2 linked regions of the Oryzias latipes genome follow. The protein of the gene in region 2 interacts with the protein of the main gene of each other region in a biochemical or structural test. Links are inferred from orthologs where the notes say so. Each region holds a gene or a part of one and is shown on either strand. Other genes may lie near its edges.

Region 1 (3,572 bases), on a different chromosome or scaffold from region 2:
CTCCTTTAGCATGTCTACGAACTGTTTTAGGGAAGTAATGAAATGAAAAAAAGTCTAGTTAGAGAGTATTTATAGCTCCTCTGACTTCTGAGAAACTGCAAGGATGGACCAAGATTTCCTCAGATATTTGAAGCTGCTGGAACTTGATGAGGTTCAAACATTATAATTGCAGAAAACACATGAGTGTTTAAAATTAAAAAGGCTAAAAAAAAAAGGCTTTCTTGGCCTCTGTGCACATTTTAAGAATGTGTTAAACATGTCATAAAAAAAGAAAATGTACTGGCAGACTAGATATAGAAGTGCAACCGTCTATTAAATTCACGCGTTCCTGAATGTGTGGATCTGTAGATCGGATAAATCAGGTTCAGATAAGATCATCGACTAAGTTACGCTGCCTTAAAAACTCTGCTGTTCCCTTTTAATCTCTACAGGGGGGGCTCTTTTGAGTGTTGTTGATAAACCGTTACACAATCTAAGCCCGCACTCACCTGGCTCAGATCTGCTGCTGGGGTTGGAGGGGGGTGTTTAAAGCAGGACACAGTTGGATTTCTTTTTTGCCTTCTTTTTTTCCACGGGCGTTTTCCTATTTATCTGCCTTACCAGGTCATAGAAGATCTAGAGCGTCAAACAAACAAGGACATGTTCAAGCATTCCAATTCATCTAGAAAGCATGGTGGAAAAATTACACTGAAGAAAAACTCTAGGCTGGGGGAAAATTCTAACAATCCCTACATTTCCTTTGACTTGTAAAAATGTAGACAAAAGCATTACTACAGTAATAACAGGGATATAAAAACAAAATATTTGGGGCTATAGAGGGAGGAAAAGCAAGGGAATCTGTAATTTAGTCCATCCATGATTTAAGGACTTTAATTAAAAAATAAAAAAAAGGTGATTGCAACAACTCCTGAAGCATTTGCCTGCTTTTCAATGATTTGGACCTCCAGGTTCGTGCTTTTAAGTGGACTCACATCAAGGACGTTGATCTTTGACTTAGCAGATGACTCTAAAAAGGCACAGTTGTTCCACTGTCTGGCCAGGTTCTGGCCCTGCTCCTTCCCCACCACACGCTCATCTTCTAAGTCACACTTGTTCCCTACCAGGATCATCGGCACCTGCAACAACAAAAAAAACAGTAGAAAACAGGCAAGACTGCATGTTAATCTTTTTTTTTTTACTTTGTTAGCCTAAAAACTATCGGTGCACTGAACTGTTTCAGCAAACAGAGAGTGTTTCAAGCACATTACATCATCTTCACTGAAGGTTGTTTGGATTGCATTAATCTAACATAGGTAAACCCAAGTCTTTCATCGGATTGTTATGACATTATGGGTTTTTCATAGTTACTCTGTTCTGCATGTGTTAGTCCAGGCTCTCATCCAACATATGCTAAGCATGAAAACAGCCCAAACATCCATCTGTGACTGCAGTTCAAGGCAAAAGACCACATGTTATGGGACGACTTAAATCCTGAAAGTAGTTTACCATTTAATGATAAAACTTTACTAGTCGATAACTGACTAAACACCCACAACAACGTCATCCATGTTAATCTTCATTTAACCCTGACTAGTGCAGAAAAAAGCCCCGCTCCAACCTGGATGGGAGCAGACTTTGCTAAAGCTTCTTTAGCACTTAGAGAAAATAGAACTGGCAGGTCTGTGTCACAAGGGAGACCCATTTTCCCAGAGGGTCAAAGGTTTCCCTTTTTCAGCTGTCTTACACTTTAAAGTCTTAAAAAATATTCTAATGAAGAAAAAAGAAAAAACAGAATGAATAAAAACAATTATAATGTATTCCAGGTATGCATGAGGATCAATAAGGGATTCAAAAATGAAGAAAAAAAGAAAACCATATCTGCTTTAACCCCGAATCAACTCATCACAATACAAATTTCCACAATCATTTTAATATTATGGAACAAAAACAGGGAGTGGCATACCCAGCTGTGCAAAGGACAGAACACAAACTTTTCCTATTTTGTTTAGGCATTCTTAAATGTCAGACAGAAAGCTGAATACATGAAGTGATGAAGAGGCCTCCATAAGATTTGAAGGTGAAACTGCTGCACAGAATCTTTCAAGTCTTGTCTTTTTATCAAAGCTAACAAGTCACTGTTCAAACTTTTCACCTTAGAATGAGATTCTGTCGACGTGACATTCAATCACATACATTCCACACAAATGGAAAACCTTTTTTTTTTTTTTTACAGCTTTCAGCCATCCAAAAGACATACGTAGCTACATGCAACTGGAAACTGAACAAGTTTAGACTGATCTGCCACATGCTTCCTCCAGGACAGCAAAGGGGCTTTCTATCCATCCTATCAACTCCAATGGTGTGACAAAAGGCAGACAGTTAGAGAAGGCTTATAAAATGTAAAATTACCAGCTGACTAATCAAAAATGACCAGAAACTGCTGAGAAAACTTTGGTTTGTCTTTAATAGAGACGTTTCTAAAGAAAGCTGACAGAGTGCTGATCTGTGGTTACTGGATCTCTTTAAACAGACAGCACTTCTCCTTTTGTTTATTAACACGTTTACAGTAAGAAGCAGGACAAATAAAAAGGTGGAGCAGGACGGAAACCTTTAGTCCAGTTTAGGGCTTCCCTATTACAATCTGCAAACACAGAGCAGTGAGGGTTGTCGGGATGCGTCTCATCCTGTCTGCCGTTTCCTGACTAACTATCTTGGGAGAATGCTGGCTCGTAGGAAGTCATGGCGGCCCCGCCCAGCCGGGATAACATTGCTTTCCTTCCTGAATGTTCTCCAACATTTCAGCTGTATTCCATGCTTCAGCTGCTCAGTGGAATTAGATGATGGTGTGTGATTGTGCAGTGTGTGACATTTTTGTGTGTTTAACAGTTTAGTTTACTTGGGAAATGTGAGGAGGGGGGGTAAAAGAAGCGAGGCATCAATGTTTGTCACAGTTCACAAGACGTTTCCATTTTTGCCACTGGCCTCCAACAAACAAACAATTACCTAATGGAAACTTTTACAGCACAACAGCCATCAATAAAATATCAGCCAGGAGAAATCTATTTGTGGTTGGCCTCCAGTAGAAAAAAAACATGAATTTACGCTCAGAAAGTCGCATCTTTATTACCTTCTTCTCTTCCAGAAGTTATATCTAGGATTGTCTTGTTGATTAAAAAAACACTTGTTTTTTTGTTAAGCGATTACTGTCTTTGAGACAAAAAAAGCATAGAATACATTTCTAGAAAAGTTTTCTCTCTGCATTCCTGCATTTGAGAATCGTGACAGGAAACAGACGTGTATACAGTGAGCCTACAGAGGTGCCTGCTTGATGTTTGATATCCAAACAATCCTTCACTGAACTGCTGAGCAACACTTCTGTATGGGCTGCTAGCAAAGCAATGGAGTGCACTGCAAGCACGAGCACTCAGCCAAGCCGGGACAAGAAACAAGGATGGAAAGACAGGAATGCAGAGATGGGGGAAAAATAAGGTTTGTCAGCAGGACATAAGGAAGCATTACCGTAATTAAAGAATCCCCATTTTCATTAGATTGAATTAAAATGTCATTTACATTTAGGAGGAGGTCCCACAAAA
Region 2 (3,572 bases):
TGACTGAGAGACCTGATGAGGGCACATGGACGGCAGAGGACAGACATGTACTTAATAAATGCACTGCAATAAACACTGGGGGGGGGGGGGGGGGGGACTGGGACATGCAAGTTTTTTCTACTCATTCCACACATTCCAGGCAGCAGAGGGAGGAGAGTTTATCCAATAGCAGAGGAGCAGGGGGGCGTGGTACTCTCAGTTTACATTTCTGTGGCCTGACTCAGTCATGAGAGTTTGAAGTTAAGTAACATGTGGTTTCAGTCTATCATCAGAGGACTGATGGGGGGACAGCTTCAGCTAGAAATACCCTTGTTTTCATGATTATGTCATTCAGACATATTATGTAAATCTCAGATGTAATCGACTCCATAATGAGTAAAATGGCTGTAAAACATGAATGTTCTACGTGAAAAAGGATCTGAAAGTTCAGAACAGAAATGTTTGGGTTCTTTCCAGGTAGCTGCACGGTGCTTCCCATTACAGGTTTGGTATGCAGCGTCTTCCACGTGACCACAAGAATGTAAAGCAGGAATAAAGAATGTTTTTCTGACAGGCCGACCAAAGCCGGAGGACAGGTGAAGGTCTGAAGGAGGCTGCATGCTCTGACGCATGTGTGCACGCTGCTGGTCTGCAAATGCCGCTTTGATTCGTCATGTTCAGGTTAGTGACAGGCAGGTTAGTGGGACAGTTCAACCCAAACTGGTACACAAAAGGGAGGCGTCAGGAGAGCCGGAGGGAGCACATGCTTAGGAGGACAGGCTGCTGTGCAGCAGTGCAAAGTGTCACCAACTTACCCTAAACTTCTCCATTTCTTCTTCCTAAAGGATGGGTGCCATGGACAAAGAAGCGTGGGAGGGAGGGGTCAAAGGGTGTATGAGCAGAAAGAAAAGAGAGTAGACACAGCTTAGGACAGAAAAGACCACCAAGATCACCAAAGAGAACCAATTTCACCAAAGAACCACGTGAAAATCAGCAGAAAGGGGATCGAACAGTGACACTACGGAGCGGACATCACTGGACAGAAGACGCTCCTGCAGGAGCTCCGAGCGCGTCTCCATGTCTGGAGCTCGGGAAGGAGCGGGGTGCAGAAACGGGACAGGACTGGCTGACCTCACTCGTTAAACGCATGGAACCAGGACCTCACCTGGTCCGAAACATAAGCGCCGGGTCCATGTTAACAGACGCCATCCGACCCACGTGGCGGATTTCTTTAGCAATCATCCTCAGCTTCTCAAAGTTCACCAGGCCGTCCACTTTAGAGTCGTTGCCTGTTGGATTGAGAGGTAAACGTGAATCTTATCAGCTCCAAACATCAAACTGCAGCTCAGACAACAGCTCAGACAACAGCATGAAAGTCCACTCTGGGGGGCTGAGAGAAAAGGCAGCTCCACTCAGCTGGACCCTGATTTCCCTCAGCCAAAATGTGACTTTTACTTTAAAGATTGGGAAAGATAGTAGTTTGTTTGTGAAGACATGAAAGAAGCACCCTGAAGATAGAAAAGAGAAGCTGCTCTTCTGCAAACGTCTCCTCTTCAGAATGCTGGCAGACATGCTGATGCTCATGCTTCCATCAGTGGAACTAGACACAGACAGCACGGCTGTGAACGCCGCTCTGTCAGCCTGCGTCGAGCTCAGTTTTTGTGTTTTCTACCTTCATGCAGGAAGGTCAGGTCCTTCTTGATGACTGGGAACAGAGGGATGATTGGTGGCTGGAGGTTCTGGTTGTTCAGAACGTTGCGGTACTTGGCCATATTCCTAGACGGGTCAAAAAGGTCCTGCAGGTCCCCAAACAGCTTCTCATACTTGCTGGGTAGTTTCTCCCATGTTCCCCTCAGTCTGGAGACTGGAGCTAAGTTCAAGCCACTGTGGGGAGAGGACAGACAGCAGTCCTTCTCACGTTCAGGAACGTTGGCAGAGAACAGAAGACAAAGGCGTGAGGCCGCCAGACTCACCTGATGATGGCAAACATGGAGCTGAAGTTCTTACACTCTCGACAGTGTAGGGCAATCTTGATGAAATGCTTGATGATCTTCATCCGCTTGAGCTGGTTAGGCTCCCGCGTCACCTCTGAGGCCACCCAGAAGGTCTCGTGGTTGATGGCCTCCTCGAAGCGCTTCAGGCTGGCAGAACCCGTCTTTGAGCGCCGCTTGAACAGGTCATCGATGTACTCGGTGGGCTCGATGGCGCAGAACAACTCAAAAGCTCGCATGGAGAGCTGCGTGGCCACTTCCACAGTGCTGAGCTGCAGCAGGGAGATCTGGCCTTCTCGTAGGAGGTCCTGGGCATCCTCGTCCGAGCATAATGTCTCCGTCTCCATGTTGCTTTTCAGGTAGTATCTGATGGAGGGGGGGGTACAACAGAAGTTTGGGGTGTTTCAGAATCCATTTCATGTGGCTAAGGTTTGGCAGAGCTAGCAGGTTTTAAAAATCTGAAGTGATTGTGAGCAGTGATGTGCCGGCACGGATGGGATTACCTGCCGCTCAGCTGAATCCTGTCAGCCAGTTTTGAAAGTTGGTCAGGTAAGCGGCGCTGCTTAATGACCCCCTCCGGAGTGACAGACACCTCACACAGCGAGTACGCCTCCGGGGCTGCAGTCAGAGCGAACTCCCTGATGGCCTGGACCACCACCTCCTTAGCCGTGGTGTCCTTTCCGATCATGATGTACCGCGACTGCTGGTCTGCCTTGAAAACCCGCAGCACTTGGTCTGACATGTCTGCAGAGGGAAAGCAGGCCCGTCAGCACAGACGCTGAACTATGTTTGATCACTGTTCACATGAATGGTTGGATTAGAAAACACCCCACACCAGCGATTTGGGCTGAACTCGAAGCTTAAACTTTAATTAAAAACACCCCCAAGGCCTCCCAACATTGCCCCTGTGATCAAAAGCGCCACCCTGCAGGCTGCATGAGACAGCTGCGAGCACACAGCACCAAAGTACTCACTCAGAAGGACCGGTACTGAAACACAGAACACGAGGAAGACAGGTCAGTGTAGGGAAACCCTTTCTGTTTCTCCTCCACAGCATTCCTTCTCTATGCAGCTCTATCTGATCAACCACTCGCTTCCTTCCTTTCAGCAGGAGAAACCCACCAGGCTGGTTGTTGAAGTCCAGGATGCGGTGGTGCGACTGCAGGAGGTCTGGGTTTGAGGACGACAAGTTTCCACTGACCGGCAGCGCGGGTGGGATCTGCTTGGACTGCTTCATCCCCAGTATGCTGTCATCCTGTGATTGGCCCACGCAAACGTCGCTATGGAAACAGGAAGAACAGGCACCAAGGAGAAGTTCTGTTAACAGGAGGCAGAGGGTGATGTCTGCATTTGACAGAACAGAAGACATTCAGCGGCTGAACTGAAGTAAATGAATAGTATCAACTGTGGGGGTGACCTGTATCAGCTGGGTGCTTAGGGTGCTTTAGAATCACAAAGGGCTTTACTTGTATGGTTTGGGAGGCAGGATGCTGGTGAGCGTCTTGTCAAAGATCTTCTTTAACTTGTTGCGTCCTCCGACCGTGTTGGCTTTGGCCTTCTTGCTGGCTTTCTCCAGACCCATCACCTGCTCCACGTCCACCG

The links.
Region 1: the proteins of rapgef2 (region 2) and ras-related protein Rap-1A form a complex in vitro, tested with the Homo sapiens proteins (2 studies listed by BioGRID and IntAct, with this or other methods). The link is inferred for Oryzias latipes from reciprocal best matches to the Homo sapiens genes RAPGEF2 and RAP1A.

What each region holds. Positions count from the first base shown.
Region 1 is NC_019863.2:11,459,423-11,462,994, reverse strand, and holds part of ras-related protein Rap-1A, read right to left. Parts: intron 1,116-3,572; coding exon 972-1,115; intron 616-971; coding exon 526-615; 3' UTR 489-525; intron 1-488. UniProt on the Homo sapiens protein: Counteracts the mitogenic function of Ras, at least partly because it can interact with Ras GAPs and RAF in a competitive manner. Together with ITGB1BP1, regulates KRIT1 localization to microtubules and membranes.
Region 2 is NC_019868.2:1,036,281-1,039,852, forward strand, and holds part of rapgef2 (rap guanine nucleotide exchange factor 2), read right to left. Parts: coding exon 3,437-3,572; intron 3,251-3,436; coding exon 3,093-3,250; intron 2,960-3,092; coding exon 2,945-2,959; intron 2,715-2,944; coding exon 2,474-2,714; intron 2,337-2,473; coding exon 1,953-2,336; intron 1,864-1,952; coding exon 1,652-1,863; intron 1,269-1,651; coding exon 1,145-1,268; intron 819-1,144; coding exon 795-818; intron 13-794; coding exon 1-12. UniProt on the Homo sapiens protein: Functions as a guanine nucleotide exchange factor (GEF), which activates Rap and Ras family of small GTPases by exchanging bound GDP for free GTP in a cAMP-dependent manner.